Linked DNA regions of Saccharomyces cerevisiae S288C. The protein of the gene in region 4 interacts with the protein of the main gene of each other region in a pairwise test. Each region holds a gene or a part of one and is shown on either strand. Other genes may lie near its edges.

What was found.
Region 1: the proteins of NFT1 (region 4) and COS8 interact in a protein complementation assay, tested with the Saccharomyces cerevisiae proteins (one large-scale study listed by BioGRID).
Region 2: the proteins of NFT1 (region 4) and PRO3 interact in a protein complementation assay, tested with the Saccharomyces cerevisiae proteins (one large-scale study listed by BioGRID).
Region 3: the proteins of NFT1 (region 4) and COS1 interact in a protein complementation assay, tested with the Saccharomyces cerevisiae proteins (one large-scale study listed by BioGRID).

What each region holds. Positions count from the first base shown.
Region 1 is NC_001140.6:3,729-9,082, reverse strand, and holds COS8 (Cos8p), read right to left. Parts: upstream 2,683-5,354; coding exon 1,537-2,682; downstream 1-1,536. Other genes in the region: ARN2 (siderophore transporter), read left to right, coding at 1-732; YHL048C-A (uncharacterized protein), read left to right, coding at 3,286-3,420; YHL049C (uncharacterized protein), read left to right, coding at 4,542-5,354.
Region 2 is NC_001137.3:199,233-204,179, reverse strand, and holds PRO3 (pyrroline-5-carboxylate reductase), read right to left. Parts: upstream 3,105-4,947; coding exon 2,244-3,104; downstream 1-2,243. Other genes in the region: carnitine O-acetyltransferase YAT2, read right to left, coding at 1-1,988; SRB4 (Srb4p), read right to left, coding at 3,305-4,947.
Region 3 is NC_001146.8:5,444-10,739, forward strand, and holds COS1 (Cos1p), read left to right. Parts: upstream 1-2,886; coding exon 2,887-4,032; downstream 4,033-5,296. Other genes in the region: YRF1-6 (Y' element ATP-dependent helicase protein 1 copy 6), read right to left, coding at 1-488, 637-655.
Region 4 is NC_001143.9:650,519-658,194, reverse strand, and holds NFT1 (putative multidrug transporter NFT1), read right to left. Parts: upstream 5,116-7,676; coding exon 1,459-5,115; downstream 1-1,458. Other genes in the region: YKR104W (uncharacterized protein), read right to left, coding at 439-1,359.

The DNA.
Region 1 (5,354 bases), on a different chromosome or scaffold from region 4:
ACCATTCTAGTAGTTGCGGTAGATGAGAGCGCTTCCTCAGCTACAAGAATAATAAACTTATACTCTTTTGTGACTGCTGTTGTTGCTCCATTTCTGGGGCTCATCGTTACGAGATCATCTAGATTGAAGTCGTATATTATTTTTGGTGGCTCACTTTATTTCATTACTATGGGACTATTTTACCGCTACAGGTCAGGTCAAGACGCCGATGGAGGTATAATTGCTGGTATGGTTATTTGGGGTCTCAGTAGTTGTTTATTCGATTATCCTACAATTGTTTCTATTCAGTCGGTAACATCCCATGAGAATATGGCTACTGTCACAGCATTAAACTATACAGTTTTCAGAATAGGTGGAGCAGTTGCAGCTGCCATTTCCGGTGCCATATGGACGCAGTCATTGTACCCTAAATTATTGCACTACATGGGAGACGCTGACCTGGCTACAGCAGCATATGGCTCACCACTAACTTTTATTCTTTCCAATCCCTGGGGTACTCCAGTTAGGTCTGCGATGGTTGAAGCTTACAGACACGTTCAAAAATACGAAGTTATTGTTGCGCTTGTATTTTCAGCGCCTATGTTCCTTCTAACATTCTGCGTAAGAGATCCTCGGTTGACTGAAGATTTTGCCCAAAAGTTACCTGACAGAGAATATGTCCAAACCAAGGAAGATGATCCTATCAATGACTGGATCGCGAAACGTTTTGCAAAGGCCTTAGGCAGGTCATAAGAAAGATTTACAAAACCCCAACAGGATATGTGTTCGAAAAAATGATCTCTGATATGCGCAGTAATTTTTGTATGGTACATAAGATGAAGCAAGATAAGTGATAGTAATATTTGTTACCATGTATATGTTTAATGTGATAACACAAAAGCGTAATATGAGTAATGTTTCAGTAATGTTTCACACATAGAAAACATATAGTGGAAAACGTATTGTAGCAAACCTCTAATCCGGTAGTACTTGAGAAATTATAGCTTCTGTGTACAAAAACAGTACCTATGTAATTCTTACATTTACATAACATATATAAACTTACTACATTATGACATATAAGCTAAATCGTAATTTACTACGTCAACAATATGTCATAGTGTAGTGATATCATTTGCGATTATATCCTACAAAAAAAAAGCACTTATATGACCAAAAATGTATTATCTGGATTTTAAGTTACCGCTTTAATATATGATGTTCTAATGTGAAGCCTGTGTACATATTGATTAGTATGAAAACATTATTGAACTTTCATGTTAATGACACCATGGCAGTATTCTTACCCCAAGTAAAGTGTTTCAGTCTTATTGCTAAAGGGTAGAATATTTTTATATTTAGGTGATTTTAGTGGTTATTTTTCTATAACAAATATTGAAAATAAGTGTTTTTGAATTTAGTGGTTATTGTATGGTGTAAAGTGATAAAACATATGCGAAAAGGAGTATTAATAATAATAAACAAGTAAAATACGTTTTGACTTACTGATATTCGATCAACTACACATAGTATATTTTGGAAAAGGAACATTTGTTCCTACTTTAGGGGCTTCTCATTGCGGGCCGATTGCGCTTCTTTAATGTATGGCCATAGCTCAACGTTCAACGAAGCAAACCACATAGGTTTTTTTAAAGATAAGAGACGATAGAAAAAGCGCCTAAAAAACCATTCGCAGTCAAGTCCATCGTAGAAAAACTCTTCATTATTCCAGACTTTTTTCTCAAACAAATACCTATTCATTTTCTTTGCAATTTCGTCCCATCCATTCGCACCACTTTCTTGCTCATTTATAATAGTTGACAAGAACTGCATCTTGTGTTCCATTTTCACGGATAAAACAATCATCCTCATATTTTGGAAATCTCTCGTCATGATAAAAAACATTACTACCGGAAACAAGAAACGTGATATAAGGTCAGCATTTCCAGACGTGTAGACAATTAAAAAATAATAAAGGAAGAGTGGTAAACACCGCAGGTTGAAAATCCTTTTAAGAATCCAGGTAAGCTTAAATCGGTAAGCTTCTTTGGGGAGCTGAATGTCTTCCAGGTCGAAAGGACTCTCTTCCTTCTCAGTATTAAACAGCTTCCACTCTTTGTCAAATCCTGCAGCATACACTTGCAAGGCCTCTTCGATATAAGGAACGGAATCCTTAAATGACTTAACCTTTGCAGATTCGTCTTTTTTTAAAGAGAAGGGTTCGAGAAGGGTTGTTTTAAACGCTTTTTGGCAGCTCATGGCATTGAAAAAAAAGTACTTGGTATTCCAAGTCTTATTTTCATAGAAGTACGAATTTAGATTTGCTGCAACGACTTCCCAATCATGAGGATCCGAACTTGGTGTGTCTTCAGTAATCTCTTTGCAAAACTGAATGAGTTGTTTCGATAAGGAACGCTTACGAGAAAGTCCACAAATAACAAGGACAAAAAATGGTCCCAGGAACAGGACAAGAAGTGAAACTATAAGTGGGTGAATCCAATTGCTGGAAAGTTTCCACCAGACGCTAAGTGGTAGCCATAACAGCATCCAGATGCGAAACGCTAAAGACTTGTAAATTTCATAACAAAACCAGGTCAATTCGTTTCGGAAAACATCTTGAGGTAGAACGGTCTTTTGGAATTCGAGCTGTTTGAAGGATAACACATCTACGCTTTTCTCATCTTTGACTTCATTCTCTTTCATTTTCGGTAGTGAGATGGCAGTTCGAGGGGTTTTTTATTCGAAATAGTAACTTCTGACTTTTCGCTTTTATACAGCACAGCAGAAAAAAAAAGCCGCCGAGGCGCGCGCGTTCATGCAATGGCTCAGTAACCTCGTGATAGAAAAAGGGAAACAATATTGGGCTATTTTAGGCAAAGAAACTCAGCTATTCGAAAAGGGCATCCATTTCATTTCCGGTTTTCTATCTAGCCAACTCGATAATCGTAATAACGAATTTACAAAACTTTAATGCGGGTGCATCACGGTGTGCCGTAACTTTGGTTTACATTTAAGGTGCGACCAGCAATGTCACTGCTCGTACAGCGGTTACCGCTTGAATGAAATACATATTTTAAGCGTAGATTTCCTGTGACAAAACTGTGTAAACATCTAGTAGAAAATAGACGTAGCTGTCACAAATATTTACACAGGAAAGAGTCCGTCCTACGTATCTGACATGAAGATTCATAGAACCAAGTTACTTACAAATGTGGACAACCTTTCAATACCATTTTTTATCCTTATGCTTGGTGTCACTGTAAAATTGATCAAGGCAAAACCTAGAGGTACGGTGGTGCTCAGATCATGCATGACATCTGGGTAATCACCACTTCTCCCGCTTGCTTTGAGATTCTGTATAAATATTGCAAACAAAAGGGTAGAGCACGGATGGGAGGCCTTATAGTAAAAATTATTCGTTTTAATCATGCGTCAGTGTGAGATTCTATGACAATAGTATGAGAAGATAGGGTGAAGTAAAAGCGTCTGTATGACTATAGAGTACAGTTATATTACAATATATGGAATAGAGCATAGTGGTATGACGGTATTAAGGAACATTTAAGTTAATGACGTCATGGTGGTATTGATACGCAATTGAGTGTGTTTATGTACTATGGTTGAAGGATAGAATATTTTTATGTTTAGGTGATTTTAGTGGTGATTTTTTTGTAATATTGGCATAAGTGTATATAAATTGAGTGGTTAGTATACGGTGAAAAAGAGGTATAACGTATGTATTAAGAGCAGTTATACAATATTTGGGGCCGCCGAATGAGATATAGATATTAAAATGTGGATAATCGTGGGCGTTATGGGTAAATGGCACAGGGTATAGACCGCTGAGGCAAGTGCCGTGCATAATGATGTGGGTGCATTTAGTACTGATTTAGTGAGAGATGGGTCATGGAGTGGAGTAGAATGTGAAAGTAGGGTAAGTTGAGAGTGGTATATACTGTAGCATCCGTGTGCGTATGCCGTACCAGTATACAAGTGCAAGTGAGTGTGGCATGTGGTGTGTGTGGGTAAGTACGTGTGTATTATTTACGATCATTTGTCAACGTTTCAACATGGTGGGTGGGACATGGAGCATTAGGAAGTGACTTGGTACGCCAAAAAGGGCTCCTCTACCTCAGCGGGGTAATAAAATTTATCCACGAAGCGGCTGAGCAACGAACAGAATCCTGGTTCTCCTCGACTAAGCAGACGGTTAAGATACTGTGCACCATGGAAATTGAAAACGAAAGCACGTACCGACTGCTTTATTTTTGCAGGCCGGAAATCAAGCGATGAATGAGACATCCTTCTGTTTTCTATGTTGGGACAGACAGTCGCTTATCTTAGTGAGATTTCTTATTAACTGAATTTTCTTTGCTGCTGCTGGAGATTTGCACCTGCATAGCGCAGATTCTGCTTCTTCTCAATAGAGTAGCTTAATTATTACATTCTTAGATGATGATAAGACGGAAACTGGACAATCTTTTGTTTATATTGATGGATTTCTTGTCAAAAAGCATAACAATCAACATACTATTGTTAATTTCGAAACTTACAAAAATAAAATGAAAGTTTCCGATAGGCGTAAGTTTGAAAAAGCAAACTTTGACGAGTTTGAGTCGGCTCTAAATAACAAAAACGACTTGGTACATTGTCCCTCAATAACTTTATTTGAATCGATCCCCACGGAAGTGCGGTCATTCTACGAAGACGAAAAGTCTGGCCTAATCAAAGTGGTAAAATTCAGAACTGGTGCAATGGATAGGAAAAGGTCTTTTGAAAAAATTGTCGTTTCCGTCATGGTCGGGAAAAATGTACAAAAGTTCCTGACGTTTGTTGAAGACGAACCAGATTTCCAGGGCGGACCAATCCCTTCAAAGTATCTTATTCCCAAGAAAATCAACTTGATGGTCTACACGTTGTTTCAAGTGCATACTTTGAAATTCAATAGAAAGGATTACGATACCCTTTCTCTTTTTTACCTCAACAGAGGATACTATAATGAGTTGAGTTTCCGTGTCCTGGAACGTTGTCACGAAATAGCGAGTGCCAGGCCGAACGACAGCTCTACGATGCGTACTTTCACTGACTTTGTTTCTGGCGCACCTATTGTAAGGAGTCTTCAGAAAAGCACCATAAGGAAATATGGGTACAATTTGGCACCCCACATGTTTTTGTTACTACACGTAGATGAGCTATCGATTTTTTCTGCATACCAAGCAAGTTTACCTGGCGAAAAGAAAGTCGACACAGAGCGGCTGAAGCGTGATCTATGCCCACGTAAACCCACTGAGATAAAGTACTTTTCACAGATATGTAACGATATGATGAACAAAAAGGACCGATTGGGTGATGTTTTGCATGTGTGCTGCCCAAGT
Region 2 (4,947 bases), on a different chromosome or scaffold from region 4:
GGATTTTCGAAAAGATCTTTCGCAGCAGATGATTCATCACCACTTAAGTGGATACCAAAATGGTCATGAAATTTGAAGAGATATTTCAATGCATTGAAGTGTTTTTCATAACCTACCCCAGACTTTGCATGTTTAACCATGTTATTATGTGTTTCGCAGGTTTGGATAAATTTGTCTAATTTATCTGTCCCATCAATGGAGCTAGAAATAAACAATTGACATAGTTCCAACAGCGCTTGACTTTGAATGTTAATAAAAGATGATCTCGAGTTTTTGAAACCACGTGTGGATACTGGTTCTAATCCAAACACCATTCTTCCATACAAAGCATAGTGAGCTATTTGTAAAGCTACTTGAACCATCGAATCGGGCTTGACTCCTAATCTTTGAGCTGACCTTCTGCCCAATGGAATAGAAGCGCGAACAATATCATACTTGGAAATCAGATCAGCTAGTTTGGTTTCTGACAAATGGACATGTGTGTTCAGGATGTTACTGAAAGACCAATCGATTTTATTTACAACCAACTTAGGGTCAATTTCAGAAGGGCCTCCGCCGTCGGCACTTATGGTCGCCGTCATCAGTTTTTTAGTTTCAGGATCCATTTGTGTCACGTTAGGCCAGAGTGAAAACTGTGGGTCACCGGCGTTAACGTCTCTAGCTAATCTCAAGACTGATTCTGTATAAATTTCAGAAGTAAACCGAAGCACGACTGACCCGTCACATGTGAAGGAATCCCAAATCACTGTGGCTTTTGCATCTGCAGTGACAACTAACTGTAATTTATCATACCAACGAGAAACACATGAACCCACTTGATGGCCTTTGCTATTTATTATAGAAGTACCGTAAAACACTCTCTTACAATTGGCGGAAGTACATTTCTTGTCTCGCTCAGTGATAGTCCTGTTAAACATTTGACTGATATCAGCGGTATCATCGCCATCATTGGTAGTTTCTTCTTGTGATTCGTCCAGCACTAACACGAACAGAGCAGAGTCTATGCGATGTAATTCATTAGGATACCTTTTCTGTAGTCTCTTCCTTGCATATTTCCAGTTTCTAAAAGAGTGAGAGGTCAAACTACCTAACGCAGTTGATTTTTCAATGCCAGAAGAATCTTTTATTATATGGTTGAAAATTGTGGTTAATTCTGCAGCAGTGTATATAATTTTATTCGTCGAATCAAGTACTTCCAGTGTATAGTATTGGCCCCTGGAGATGATCAAGATGTGTTTGCTATCCGGATGTCTTTTTATAGTTATACCATTGCCAGTGAATATGTCTTCTTCGTGTTTTCTTTTACGGTCATCAAAGTCTTTTTGGGTGGGTTCGTCGTTATCGTCCTCATCGCTTGAATAATCAGGGTCTTCTAAATCAGATGCTGTGTAAGGTTTGTTCAAATCAAAATTTTCAACCTCACCGCGCTGAAAAACAGGACTACGAGTAGTACCGAACAAGTTCAGAAATGGAGCCATTGACAGTGGTTTGCCATTGGTGGCATTGATATCTGGTGGCAACAAATCTTGTTTCAAAGCAGAAATAAACCTGGCCGCAGAGTGCACTAGGACGGCTGACCTATCAGCTTGAGTGATGTTTGGCAAAGCGTCATCTGCGAGAACCAAGAAGGGATTCCTGGGTAGGACATCGTCCTGAATCTCCCTAGTGGAGGTCTGGTTATTGATGTCTAAGTGTAATTCATCAAGGTAGCAATCCCTAGTGTCATGGTAGCTCTGTAGTTTAGATTGCAGCTTCTCACTTACGGGATTCTCTTCAAAATCTCTTATTATGGATGACAGCTTCTCAATTTGTTCTGGATCTAAAGGATGTTGATAGTAACCATCAGCATAATACAATGGCTCTAAACTCTCCTTCAGACGCTGCAAAGTGTCACAGAGTTTAGGTAATGGTAACTTGGGTAGTTCTTCCTCATGCTTAAATGTTCGCCCCGACTTGTCAGACGAAACAATAGTACTGCCGCTTGACATGGTTGCTTAGTTTTATTTTAATTTTGATTTTTGATTTTCATTTCAAATGAATCAATTGCTCTTACTCATTACAAACACATTTATATAATTTTTTTCTTTTATACGCTCCAATTAGTGTCATTATTATGGGGTAGTCATTCATCGTGATGATTCATTATCGGACCGACGGGAAAATGACGAAAAAATGCAAGGTCAGTAATAAAAAAATAATATACGGCTACAAAGCGAACATACATACATTTCACGCAAAGCAATCTATTTCTTCTTTTGGCCTAATTGTGACGCAACACGGGCTGCCTCTTCAACACCATTGATAATACCGCTCTTGACGCCCTTTTCTTCCATTACGCACAACCCGGCAATAGTTGTACCACCTGGTGTGCAAACTTGATGCTTTAAAACGGATGGATGAGCACCGCTTTTCTCAACCATCTTCACTGTTCCTTCTAGAACTTTCATGGCACACTCCTTACTCTCTTGTAATGGGATTCCCAATTTCAACCCACTCTCCATCAAGGATTCTAACATCAAGAGAACAAAAGCGGGGCCTGAACCGACTAAAGCCGTAGCAGCATCCATGTTCTTTTCTGGAAGCTCAACGTATTTACCAACTTGGCTAATCAATTCGTTGACCAGTGGCTTTTGCTCTTTGGAAACATCAGCTGAGTAGGACACCACCGCACAACCATATCCGTACTTGGCAGGTGTGTTCGTCATAACACGGCAAACAGTGCTAGTGTATTGACTCAATTGGTCAATTGTCCAGCCAGCAGCCAGGGAAATAAGTAGCTTTCCCCCAATGACGCTCTTCACACCATTCAACACTTCTTCGGCCAAAAATGGCTTGGTACCAAGAAGAACTACAGAAGCTTCTTCGACAGCGCTCACGTTGTGACCGTAAGTGCTTTCGACTTTAATACCGTTAGGAGATTCGTCGAATGTCTCAACTAGATCGGTAACTTGTTGTGCACTAGGTTCATCATGGTTACATGTGATAATTTTGGAAGGGTAAAATGCAGCAGCAGTTTCATCAGCCGCCTTTGGAGCATTATAAATGGCGGAAAGAAGTGCTTGGCCCATAACACCGCAGCCTAAAATTGCCAATGTGTAAGTCATATCTGTAGTTGGTTTGTTTGCTATTGGTGTTGTGTTACTTCTATTGTTGTTACACCGTTCTTAACCTGGCAATGTTATTAAATCCTTCATATTCTTGTTTTCGAAGATAAGATCTTGTCCTTTTGTACGTATGCGACTTTATATAGTAATAAATGGCATTCTATGGCAATGTATGTAGGTTTAAGGAGTGACTCAGGATATTACACCTTCTTTTGCTGGATGTACTCAGCGACAATAAAATGTAGGAAGTCCTCTACTTCTTTAAAATCAGAAAATGTTGTGTCAAAGGACACTGCGTTGGCTTCCGTACCAGCTGAAAACTTGATGTGAATGAGTGCGTTACAATAGTTAGGACTTTCGAGCATTAAACTTAGATTAGGGCTTTTGTGCTCAGTTAATGGTAGATTTATTTTGAGTTCACGTCTAGGTATATTCAATAGTTTATCGAAGGCACGGATCTCTTTATTTAATTTAGTTATATTTTCATCATCAATGTTTTTATTTTCTTGAGGTTGTTCTCTCTCAACTTCCGTTTCTGTTATACTTGAGCCAGGAACTATATCGAGCACGTAATCCTTTATGATTTTTTTTAGTAACAGTTTGTAATTAGCAAACCGAACTTTACCAAGAATGGGACGTATTATTAAGATATCATCGTCAACATTCAAATTGATCAGTCCGTGGGGTGAGCTTATTCTCGATCGTAATGTTTTCTTGAATATAACGACTAATAATAGTCTCAACATAACAAGCATTAAATTTGCTCTCTTGTCGTTGATTTTTGGTAAGTCTTGTTCATGATTGACAATGGAGTCATCGTCAAGGGACAACAACTCGATTTCAAATTTTTCGTTAGGTAGTTCAATTATTACCTTGTTTTCGTTTTCAATACTGACACCATAGGAAATCAACAAAGCGCATTCTTTCTTTATTTGGTACATCAGTTCTTTTTCAAAAATGATCTTTTTCAAAAGTTGGATTTGCTTTCTGATATCTTTCGTTTCAGCTTCTTCACTTTCACTATCCCTATCCATCACACTTTCGCCACTCAATATGTAATCATCTTCTGATTCGATTTTTGTGAAGATACGAACCCTTAAGAATTTCTTTACTGAATGTACGAAATCAGTGCCTTTGAACACTGAACTACTGTGGGGTATCAAATCCAAATTTTGTGATTCTATATTATTCCTTATATTAGCAATACCTCTGTCATGCTTATAGGTAGATCCAGAGTCTTCGTAACCATACTTAATTGCCAACAGCTTTTGACCACTAGTCCTGTCCCTAATCTTAAAAATAACATCCTTGTTGCTAATACTCTGCATTATCTTATTCCAATAGTCATGTTCGTTCTGTAATATGGAACTCAGTTTATTAAAACTTGCGCGTAGGAGATCTTTAGATTCGTTTAAACTTTGTAACTTCCATCCCTTATTCAATATATCCAACTCGATATATTCTTTTTTTGTAGGTGCAACATATGGAATTTTATCACTGTTTAAACTAGAAGGTTTAACAACTTTCCTAAGAAATGGTGACATTGATGACATACCTGTAGACTCTTTAACACTCGACAGTAGCAAAGAAACGAATTCCAAAGCCAAAGACGATTCGTTCATGGCCAGATTTATATGCTCTAGCATATCCCTCCTTCTTTTAACAAACTGTTCCTGTGTCATTACCGTTTCAATATTATCATCGGTCTCGCCATTTTCATTCGTTTTGTGGTCTGTTTCATTTCGTGAATCCACTGGATTATCTTTATCTTCATAATCCACTTCCATGAAATCTTCTCCAATTTGTACATTCTCATCAGCGCCATCAGTGTCCTTCTTCTCGC
Region 3 (5,296 bases), on a different chromosome or scaffold from region 4:
CTTTGAAGGGATTGGTCCGCCCTGGAAATCTGGTTCGTCTTCAACAAACGTCAGGAACTTTTGTACATTTTTCCCGACCATGACGGAAACGACAATTTTTTCAAAAGACCTTTTCCTATCCATTGCACCAGTTCTGAATTTTACCACTTTGATTAGACCAGACTTTTCGTCTTCGTAGAATGACCGCACTTCCGTGGGGATCGATTCAAATAAAGTTATTGAGGGACAATGTACCAAGTCGTTTTTGTTATTTAGAGCCGACTCAAACTCGTCAAAGTTTGCTTTTTCAAACTTACGCCTATCGGAAACTTTCATTTTATTTTTGTAAGTTTCGAAATTAACAATAGTATGTTGATTGTTATGCTTTTTGACAAGAAATCCATCAATATAAACAAAAGATTGTCCAGTTTCCGTCTTATCATCATCTAAGAATGTAATAATTAAGCTATTGAGAAGATGCAGAATCTGCGCTATGCAGGTGCAAATCTCTAGCAGCAGCAAAGTAAATTCAGTTAGTAAGAAATCTCACTAAGATAAGCGACTGTCTGTCCCCTTCAAGCACAACATAGAAAGCAGAAGGATGTCTCATTCATCGCTTGATTTCCGGCCTGCAAAAATAAAGTAGTCGGTACGTACGTTCGTTTTCAATTTCCATGGTGCACAGTATCTTAACTATCTGCTTAGTCGAGGAGAACCAGGATTCTGTTCGTTGCTCAGCCGCTTCGTGGATATTCTCTTGGATACTTTAAATATGGACCTACGCTTAGCCTGCGCTTAGCCTACAACTTCTTCCGCTCTCGAAAAGACCAATATAATAGAAAGTTATAAATTACATTTCCTTATTAGGTATACGACCTCGCGCTTCGAAGTAGAGGAGCCCTTTTTGGCGTACCTACATATGGCGCGTCAGACAGACAAACTTCCCCCAAAAATGTATTACCCCGCCGAATAAGAAAACAGACCCATTCACCCACGACGTATCAAGTTACTTCCTTGGTGCAATGTCCCACTATAAAAAAATTCCTTGACGCTAGATCGTTGGACTAAAATCTGCGTCACAATCGCCTAAACAGGAAATATTGCCTATTTTCGTACAAGGTTACTTCCTAGATGCTATATGTCCCTACGGCCTTGTCTAACACCATCCAGCATGCAATACAGTGACATATATATACCCACACCCACACCCACACACCACACCCACACACCCACACCACACCCACACCCACACACCCACACCCACACCCATCACAACCCTAACCCTACCCTATTCTAACCCTGATGAACGTGTCTCTCAACTTACCCTCCATTACCCTACCTCCCCACTCGTTACCCTGCCCCACTCAACCATACCACTCCCAACCACCATCCATCACTCTACTTACTACTACCATCCACCGCCCATCATAACCGTTACCCTCCAATTACCCAAATCCAACTCTACTACCATTACCCTACCATCGACCATCTGCTACTCACTATACTGTTGTTCTACCCTCCATATTGAAACGTTAACAAATAATCGTAAATAATACACATATACTTACCCTACCACTCTAATCCCACTACCACATGCCATACTCACCTTCACTTGTATTCTGATCGGTCATACGTACACGGATGCTACAGTATATACCATCTCAACTTACCCTGCCATAACATTCCACTCCACTCCATGGCCCATCTCTCACTAAATCAGTACCAAATGCACCCACATCATTATGCACGGCACTTGCCTCAGCGGTCTATACCCTGTGCCATTTACCCATAACTCCCACGATTATCCACATTTTAATATCTATATCTCATTCGGCGGCCCCAAATATTGTATAACTGCTCTTAATACATACGTTACACCACTTTTACACCGTATACTAACCACTCAATTTATATACACTTATGCCAATATTACAAAAAAATCACCACTAAAATCACCTAAACATAAAAATATTCTATTCTTCAACCATAATACATAAACACACTCAATTGCGTATCAATACCACCATGACGTCATTAACTTAAATGTTCCTTAATACGTCATACCACTATGCTCTATTCCATATATTGTAATATAACTGTACTCTATAGTCATACAGACGCTTTTACTTCACCCCATCTTCTCATACTATTGTCATAGAATCTCACACTGACGCATGATTAAAACGAATAATTTTTACTGTAAGGGCTGCCATCCGCGCTCTATCCTTTTGTTTGCAATATTTATATACAGAATCTCAAAACAAGCGGGAGAAGTGCTAATTACCCAGAGGTCATGCATAATCTGAGTACCACCGTACCTCTAGGTTTTGCTTTGATCCGTTTTACAGTGACACCGAACATAAGGGGAAGCTATTGACATGGTATCGAAAGGTTGTCCACATTGGGAAGTAACTTGGTTCTATGAATCTTCATGTCAGATACGTAGGACAGACTCTTCCTGTGTAAATATTTGTGACAGCTACGTCTATTTTCTACTAGATGTTTACACAGTTTTGTCACAGGAAATCTACGCTTAAAATATGTATTTCATTCAAGCGGTAACCGCTGTACGAGCAGTGACATTGCTGGTCGCACCTTAAATGTAAACCAACGTTACGGCACACCGTGATGTACCCGCATTAAAGTTTTGTAAATTCGTTATTACGATTATCGAGTTGGCTAGATAGAAAACCGGAAATGAAATGGATGCCCTTTTCGAATAGCTGAGTTTCTTTGCCTAAAATAGCCCAATATTGTTTCCCTTTTTCTATCACGAGGTTACTGAGCCATTGCATGAACGCGCGCGCCTCGGCGGCTTTTTTTTTCTGCTGTGCTGTATAAAAGCGAAAAGCCAGAAGTTACTATCTCGAATAAAAAACCCCTCGAACTGCCATCTCACTACCGAAAATGAAAGAGAATGAACTTAAAAATGAGAAGAGTGTAGATGTATTATCCTTCAAACAGCTCGAATCCCAAAAGATTGTTCTACCTCAAGATCTTTTCAGAAGCAGCTTTACCTGGTTTTGTTATGAAATTTACAAGTCCTTAGCGTTTCGCATCTGGATGCTATTATGGCTACCACTTAGCGTCTGGTGGAAACTTTCCAACAATTGTATTTACCCACTTATAGTTTCACTTCTGGTCCTGTTTCTGGGACCAATATTTGTCCTTGTTATTTGTGGACTTTCTCGTAAGCGTTCCTTATCGAAACAACTCATTCAGTTTTGCAAAGAGGTTACTGAAAACACACCAAGTTCTGATCCTCATGATTGGGAAGTTGTTGCAGCAAATCTAAATTCGTACTTATATGAAAATAAGGCTTGGAATACTAAGTACTTTTTCTTCAATGCCATGGTCTGTCAAGAAGCGTTCAGAACAACCCTTCTCGAACCATTTTCTTTGAAAAAAGACGAAGCTGCCAAGGTTAAGTCATTTAAGGATTCCGTCCCTTACATTGAAGAAGCATTGGGAGTTTATTTTAGAGAAGTTGAAAAACAATGGAAGTTGTTTAATTCTGAGAAATCATGGAGCCCTGTTGGCCTGGAAGATGCTAAACTTCCCAAAGAAGCTTACCGATTTAAGCTTACTTGGTTTTTAAAGAGGATTTCCAATATTTTTATGTTGATACCATTCCTTAATTTTTTGTGCTGCATATATGTGTCACGGGGAATGTGCCTTCTATTACGCACCTTTTATCTCGGGTGGATTCTTTTCATGTTGGTACAAGGTTTCCAAAACATGAGGATGATCGTTTTATCCGTGAAAATGGAACACAAGATGCAGTTCTTGTCGACTATTATAAATGAGCAAGAAAGTGGTGCGAATGGATGGGACGAAATTGCAAAAAAAATGAATAGGTACTTGTTTGAGAAAAAAGTCTGGAAGAATGAAGAGTTTTTCTTTGACGGGATTGACTGTGAATGGTTTTTTAGCCACTTCTTCTACCGCGTTCTCTCTGCAAAGAAATCTATGCGGGCTCTATCATTGAATGTGGAACTATGGCCATATATTAAAGAAGCGCAATTATCCTGCAGTGAGGAGTCCTTAGCGTAAAGATAAATACAACTTTTTCAATTTATATATTTTGTAGTTTGTCAGCTGCGAATAACCAAAACGAGACTACTTTTTACCATTACAACCATTTTCTTTTTCCCTATTTCTCACTGGTTGACAGAAATCAGTGTGCTATCATCCTACCATATGCGCTAAACTTATTGTCTTTCTCCTCCTAGAGATGCTGTATTCCATGCATATTCTGAACGATGGGTTGGTGTTTTTATCAAGCAAGGTTAATCACATGGCGTGGCTTGCTCCACACATCAGTAGAAAACGCATACCGCAGCGGAATCCTTAAATAATAAGTGATTTTACTGTTCATCAACTACAATCGGACTCTTTCACAATTACCCTTCTTGTTTTCCACATTTACTGTTAAATGAAGGGATGTACAGAAGGCTTAGGAAAACCTGTGCTGAATACTGGATGGACACTGCATTCCCACAGTGAAACTTTTATAGATACACTGTCAGTTATTTTCGAACTTTCATCAAGTTGCTGAGTTTTAGTATCCCTTTGCCTTAGCTATATGTTTGAATGAGCAAAATATTTGCAATGTCTCTAGCTTTCTTGAAATATTGGTTTATATTGAGGGCTTGGTAAGATTTCAAATTTCACTTTGAAATACTCAGGAGAAAAATCATGCTCTTTTGATAATTTGGTGACTAAACATACATAAAACAGTTTAATTTTGGGTGGTAATGGCTGTGTGACTAGCTATAGAAAGAAAAAAATTAAAAAAAAAAAAAAAAATCAAGTAGTTCCTGCACTGCGACGTCCATTATAGCATTATGAATTGGTCCCTGATTTACGCATGCGATAAACTATTTTTAGCGCAGCCGCATATTATCCGAGAATAACTTCCGACATAAGAAAATTCGCAGAAAATAGATAAAAAACTGCTCTTGGCATTCTTCACTTCCTCTATTACACACTGTGTCATACCACAATCATCTCACAGTATGTATTTGTATGTTTATACATGCTATAACGTAAAACAATGTAGAATATATATCTAAATACCTCACGGTTTTAGTTTAGTGCAGCCCACATACTACTTTTTTCCTTTTGTTTTTTTTTATATTTCAAAGGTTAAACTCGCTTAGACTATGTCTATAATATAAAAAAAAAAATAGCTCTATTCCGTTTCTTTTATTCTATTTGATATTTCCATCACACTTTCATCTTAATCACGGATGTATACTGATAATAGGGTTGACTGCGCCTGTACGGATTACAGTGCCCTCTTCAATTGGAAAAT
Region 4 (7,676 bases):
ATAGCACGATATGAACCACGGTACTCTCCAATAGTATACTTGCGATAAAATCAGCAGCTAAGTACTGAATAAGCATTTAAATTATGGTATTTTTTTTTTGCTCCTGCTGAATATTCGGGATTCTTAACGAGAGAGTTTCTTTTGTGATGATATAATATTATTTTCTAGTATAAGTAAAACTATCAAAAAAAAGTAATAATAACGTAGCTTGTTTATATACCATAAAATGTACCAGCAAAATTTTGTTTGGCACAGACAGGTTCAAAGGAGTTATTTCTTAAAGTTCTCAAAAAAAGTAGTGGATTAGGACATATAGCCCTGAAAAGTTAAAAGCGACTTCCTGAATGCCTTCTAATTACACACAAATATATGACGTAAGCAGATCGTATACTTCGTAGCTAGAACTGGAATGAATAAAAATAGGAAATTCTAGTTGTCTTATCTTTTATTATCGAATGAGACTTTAGCCAACTCGAAAAGGTTTTCGAACTCGCCACTCTGCCTACAGAGGCGGTAAAAAATGGTATTTCGATCAGATATTAGAGTGTATGGATGATCATACTCCTTGACTCTGCCCATTTCCATCACCAGAATTTTGTCATAATCTATTACTGACCTTAATCGATGAGCAATAGTCAAAATTGTTGTATTTTTCATTGTTTCTCTTATAGTTTTCTGAATTTTAGCATCAGAAATATAATCTATTGAGGCGGTTGCTTCGTCAATTAGCATTATATTACGTGCACCAAGCATGGATCGTGCCAAGCACAAAAGTTGTCTTTGCCCTTGAGATAAGTTTGAACCACCTGATTTCACAACAGTATTCAAATCAATGAATCTATTTCTTAGTTTATGACTAGAAAAATTAGGCTGCTCTTGCTCAAAAATCAAGCACAATTCATCGCATTCTTCAATTAATCCCACTTTGGATAGTACGCCATAAATTTGTACATCAGAATACCGATCGAAAGGATCTAAATTAGATCGAACAGTTCCATCAAATAAAGTAGGATCCTGTGGGATGCAGCTTATAGAATTTCTTAAACGCTCTAAAGGGATATGTTTTATGTCTTTGTTATCAATAGTAATCGTACCGTTTTCCCAGTCTGAAAGCCGGTAAATAGCCGCTATAATAGAAGATTTCCCAGCCCCTGTTCTACCAACAATACCAACTTTTGTTCCTGCTTTTACCTTGAATGATACATTATCTAGTGCCTTAGAGGAATGAGGAGAATAGCGCAATGATAAGTTTTTTAGTTCAACATCTCCTGTTTGAGGCCAATTAGCTGGAGGTGATATGTAGCCGTTTGATTCGGAAGGTATATCTGTATATTCTTTTATTCTCTCTACTGAACTCATCAAAAGTTCAACGCTTGAAAATACTTTTATGATCCATTGAGCAGTTTCAGTAAAGGAAAAGGCATTCGATAACAGTATCCCCGCTAGCCCCGCATCCAACTATGAGGCCTTCATTATGATCATTACAGAAGAACTAAAAAGAACAAGTGTCCCAATTATATCCACTCTATATGTGATCCACTCGGTGGCCATATTGAGATAAAAAAATGGAGCATTACTTCTGTCAATTGCAACCAAAGATTGAGTGATAAACCTACGCTCATCTGCTAATGCTCTAATTGTAGTTACTCCTTTGATGGCTTCAGCGAATAACTGGTGTATTGGAGAGATATTGATGTTATCTATTCTCTTCAACTCTCTAGATGCACGAAGATATAACGTACATACGGTATAATAAAGAGCGCATAAAGGAATAGCAAATAACAGAAATTGAGGAGTAACATATCCAATTAAAAGTATAATCCACAGACAAACAACGACGCTATAAGAGAGTCCTTCGAAATTAGGGATCAATTGTTGATCAATAATATCCATATCCTTGCTAAATCTGTTCATTATTCTTCCAGTCGGCGTGACATTATGAAAACGTAACTTGGCATATAAGATACTGGATAGAAGCTTCGCAAATATTTTCTTGGTGACGTTGGTACCTGAAATTATTGCTATCCAAACTTTACCAGAAGTTAAAAATGAAGAAACAAGACCTATGATAATATAAGTCAGTAAGAAATAGATGTTAGAGTGACCCTCAACTATTCTATAAAGCCAGGTAGACTTACTCCCTGAAGATCCAGTGTCCAGCCAGTATCTGAGCCAAAAGCCCTGAGACAGTGTGATTCCATGAATAAGGATGGAGGACGAGGTGAAAACAAAAACAACTCCCAGTCCCCCGAAATAGTCTGCTAACCATTTGTAAGCTGAAAATTTAACTGATCCTTCCATTTTTGTTTCCTCAAAATTTTCAACTTCAGCACACACTTCGTCTTGCGAGTTCCCTCCCTCGGGATCTCCATTCTTAGTTTTCTTTGATGTTGTTGATCTTTTCAAGTCAATTTGATTGTGAGTTGTATTTTTTGAATCATTGTTTATGCTTTCCCTCAAAAACTCATTAGATTTAATGAGGTCCGATGGTTTACCCTGTGATTTCACCTCGCCACGATCTAAAATCACAAGCCAGTCAGCCCGTTTCGTAACTAAAGAAATATTATGACTCGTAATGATGCAGGTCCTTCCTTTCATCATGGGGCCGCATAAACACTCTTCATATATATAAAGTGCAGTTTCAGGATCTACTGCACTCAAGCAATCATCAAGGATCAAATACCTGGAAGAGGAGTAAATTGCTCTGGCTAAAGCAATCCTTTGCTGCTGTCCGCCAGATAAGGAAAATCCTCCATCACCCACGTCTGTTCTTATGCCAGCTGTCATTGCTTTGATATCTTTGTCAAGACAACAGGATTTCATTACATCATCAAATTTTTGTTTGTTGAAGATTTCTCCAAAAACAACGTTATCTTTAATTGTTCCACTAATCAACCACGGAGTTTGAGAACAATATGCCATTGAATTCGTCATTCCGTCTTTACCAATCTCTAAGTCGTCGCGGGATTCAACTGTAGGTACGTATATTTTTCCAGAAAGAAGGTTCAATTCTCCCAATAGTCCAAGTAATAGCGAAGACTTTCCTGACCCAGTCGGACCTATAATTGCGTTGAGACTATTCAGCTTAAAATCAATAGAAATGTTCTTAAGTTTAAAACTTGTTTCAGCAGCTTCCCATTCCATGCTTGCATCTTCAAAGCCAAATTTAGTATTGCTTTGTTCCAAAATCTCATATTTTCTTGTTTCTGATTCATTAAGATAATCCTGGATTCTTTCAAGAGAAATAAAAGACTGTATCAAAAGGCTGACAGTCGAAGCAATTTGGTCCATGGGTGTCCTCAATATTGCAAATAAAGAAAGAGCTGTAAATGCTATTGTAGGAGTAAGTGTCTGATTTTGGAATTTAATAAACACTGAGAATGTTATTGCAGAGACCAAAGTGGGCCCAAAGAACCAAATGAGATGGTTCAAAAAGAAAATTGTTGCCTTCTTTTTAAGGAGTCTTATTTCCCCATCTCTTACGTTTATAATCTTTTGATAAAACAGATTTTCCCATGCCAGTAGCTTTATTACACGTATTGAGTTCAGAGCCTCACTAATCCCAGAGGTACGCTTGTCAGTTAGGATTAATTGATCGGCCTGATAGTTCCCGTAAAAAGTTGCACACCAAAAATTCAAAGGAATCATGGCAAGAAGAGCAAAGGTACCAGCAAAGGCGGACCATCCCAGTAGGGAATATAGTATCATTAGGGCCGTAACTGTCATGAAAACTGCTTCACATGCCAGATAAAAAGTGTTCATAGCTTCAGAAACCTTGAAAGCGTCAATTGACATAACATTGTTCACAGAGTTGTCTTTCCTACTAGACTTTTTTCTAGGTTCCGCTTCAGAAGAGTCAGGATTTTCTTCAAAGGATGTTGACGCATTTTTTTGAAGTGACGTTGTTGAGTCTTTTAGAATTGTTCTTCTTAAGGTTTTGGAATAGATATTGGATATCAAAACTGTTCTTAGTTGCATAGTACCCTTTTCACCTAAAAACAATCCTTGACCTCTACAAGTCGTGGCAATGATTTTACTGACGAGCATAGATGAGACGTATAAAGACACCAAGTTCCATGATTTTGACTTTGGGTCATTAACGTATGATAGTATTCTTGGCATCAACAATGAGGGTACAAAGTTCAAAAAACTAGATACAAAAGCCAGAAATAATTGGGAGATGAAAACAGCCTTAAAATAACAAATAATGTTTGGAAGGAGCCTTCCTTTTTTAGAAGACATTTCAAAGTTCGCCAAAATTGCTATAGACTTATTATTAATATCCAAATCCCAAATATCAGCGTTTCCAAGGCAGTGTTTGTATGCTTTCCAAATAAGCCGATCAATCCTAGAAAAAGTAAGAAGGCCAAAGACGGTAGGAGCCGGTGGCAACTTTTTGTTCTCATTTTCAACCAAAAATGAGTACCTAGTTCCTTCTATACTTGACGTTGATAATAATAATAAAAGCGCTAAATCAATGAAAGTCTCGGAAATGATATATTTGACCATAATTTTATCTTTTATCTTTCCAATGAAGACGGAACGAAGAGGTAAAATCGAAAGAGTAAACAGGGATGCATATGAGTAAAACGAAACAGCCCATAAATCACGCTTACATGCTAAAACCCACCGAAATGACTGGCTTGCTGAAATTAAACGAAGTGTAATAACAACAAGCAGTAAAATCCAGAGAAACATTTGAACCAGAAAACCTTGGTGAAAGAACTTTTTGTTATCCATTGGCATACTAGATAAAATATACAGGTGGATAGTAAGCTGCAAAACAATGAAGGCACCCTCTATAAATTTTTTGAATTTGTCGAAAGTAGATCTATTATTAACATTACAAAAGCTACGGCTTTCCCATGCAGATTTTAGTCTTAAAACTGAGAACCTTGCATATTCGTGGTTTCCATTACCTTGTTCTTCAAATTCTGGCGCTTCATTTGTATGATTTTTCCCCCTTAGATAAAAGGCTCGAAAGACTTTGCAAAACGCGTATATCATACCAGTCAACAATATAAATAGAGGAAATTTAAACTCGATATATTCTCGCCTAGCACATTCCGAAAGATCATCACGTTCCCAATAGGGGCATGTACCATTTTTTATCATTCCTAAAAATTAATACTGTGAATCGTGAAAAGTATGTTTAATAACTAAAAAACAAATATTCCAGAACGCCAGACTTACGCTATGGTTATCCTATATTTTACTGATCTTTCCATAACAAGTGGTAATCCAATTTTTTAGGCATTTTTTATAGATAGTAACATGATTTTTTTATGACAGAGTAATGCACCCAATAACTTCTAAAACAGTATGATATCCCATTTTCGTTTAATAATCGATCATGCGTTGTACTGTCATGTCCGACTTTATTTGCTCAAAAGGACTTTGTTATATTTTTGGTTGCATATTGACAGTAAATTGGACACCCTGAAATTGCAGTTTTGAGAAAGTTACAACATGGCGGAAAAATTAACTATCGTGATTTTCATCAAAAAAGCGAGTACTCTCCAAAGACCTTTGACCGTCAGTTCTAGTAAAGATGAAACCCAGGAAGATATGTTAGAAAGTGATGTTCCGTGACCTTTTTTATTCTTTCTATTAAACTAGGACTCTAAGATATAATTTTTTTTTATTTTATATACCATTCGATGACAGTCTCATAAATCTTGAATATTTTAAACGTGTAGTTAAAATGTACGCAACTGTAGTAGGAGAGTAAAGAAATAAAATTGTTGAAGAGTGATTATGGTATTTTTCTAAATCGTGGGACAAATGTTATATTTTGTGAAATATGGCACTTTCAAAGAGTTGAAAATTTTGATCAAAAAAAAAATGATGCTATAAGCGAAATAAATCTAATATCTTGGTTAAATCTAGACACCATTATCCAATAAAAACAACAATATATTTGCACAATATTCCGAATAAAGCTTTTGATTCCAAAACTGTAATCATCAATTAAGTATAAAGATCATAAAAACCACCGGGTTCCGCTGAAGAAAAAAAGTAAAGCGTTTAAAAATAGCCCATTTTATCAAGAAGTACGTTGGTAATCCCAGAACCTATTTACAAAACGCAGTGCATCAATCTTGGTTTTATCTTCCTCCAATATATACTTGTAGGACGGAGGAAATTTTCGATTCACATTGATTCAGGTAAGCTCAATCTATCTTTCTAAGCTCACATGTATTTGTTGCTCATAACAAAACTGGCTTTTCAAAAAGCACTACACTGAAGGGTTTTAGAACTCTTGGCTTTTAGTTCGTCATTTCGTAGGGCCCCAGAATTTTCCACCCAAATATCGATTACAAAAACCCTCTGAAGAAAAGCGATAAAACAATTATTTTTTCCATTACCGGTTCGCGACGTTGCTTATGTACTTTCTATTAAGCTTAAATCGCGTTTATTCTTATTCATTTCTTTACGGTTGAAAATACACTCTGTTATACCTTATTAACACTTTTTTATTTTCCATTCTTACTCAAATAGAAAGATAAATATTCTAGGTTAGTATTTGTGAAAGGTTCTTATAGTGAATATTTTCTTAGTATGAGCGTCTATTATATTATCTGGAAATTCAGAAGTACTGAATACGACCTTAGTGTTAGCCAACTCAATAAAGACACTGCTATAGTGGTGCTCAATTAAAATTACCGTGAATTTCGGCTCTTGCCAGAAGTTCTTTATGGACTTTCCGAGTATCGCCATGCTAGATTTAATCGTTAACAAGTTTCATGATTTCAAATAAATGAGGCTTTGCTGGTGACAATTCAGAAAATCGGTACCAAAGAATGCCTATCCTACTTTGTACACTTTCATTAAGTTATGCGATCAATTTTCAAATAAAAAATTGTAAATAGCTTTTCGCGTAAATTAAAGCTTACAAGCTGAGAACTAAGACGACGTAGAGCTCTCTACCTAGGTGTGTTTGTACTCATAATTTAGGTTTAGGATATGTGTAACATCCATGCACAACGAATACATTAATTTCAAAAACATAACATGAATCAATGTGATGCAGCCAGTGTGTGATTAGATACTCACATATATTATTACAATATCAATTTCTTCCAGTAGCAATTTCATGTTGGGAAAACACACTAACAATTTTAAAGAACACATTGGTTCATTATAGTACAGCCCACTCTTGAAAACATGGATCTCAGCGTGGTAACATCGCTCAATGGTTTTCAGCACATTTGCCAGCTGTTTCGTATTATTCATTGTAAATGTTCCTTTCCTTGTGCTTTGTAGAAGGCGAATAGGGCCCCTATAATTTCAATCAACTGTTATTTCAATCGTACGCCCATTTCGTTGGATAGAAGTGAACAGAATAATTACTTACTAGAATTCGGATGGATAAAGAGTCTGTTCTGTTTGTTAGGACTCATGCTGGGCACGATTAGCTTCTATAACCCCGTATGCTTCTTATATTGGAAAAACACTACCTTGCTGGGTTGAAAGATAAATCATGGAAGCTTTCAGATAGAGAGTGATGCTTTTCTTGCTAGCTCATCCGTTGCCGCTACTCCTTTTCCTATATTCTTCAGCATGTTGTGTCAATTAAAACCGTTGTTCTTTCCTAGACAACTGTTTATTGGGATGCGCAGACAGCAATTGACTGATACCCTCCAAAATTTCTAGCCAAGATTTGAAGACAGTGC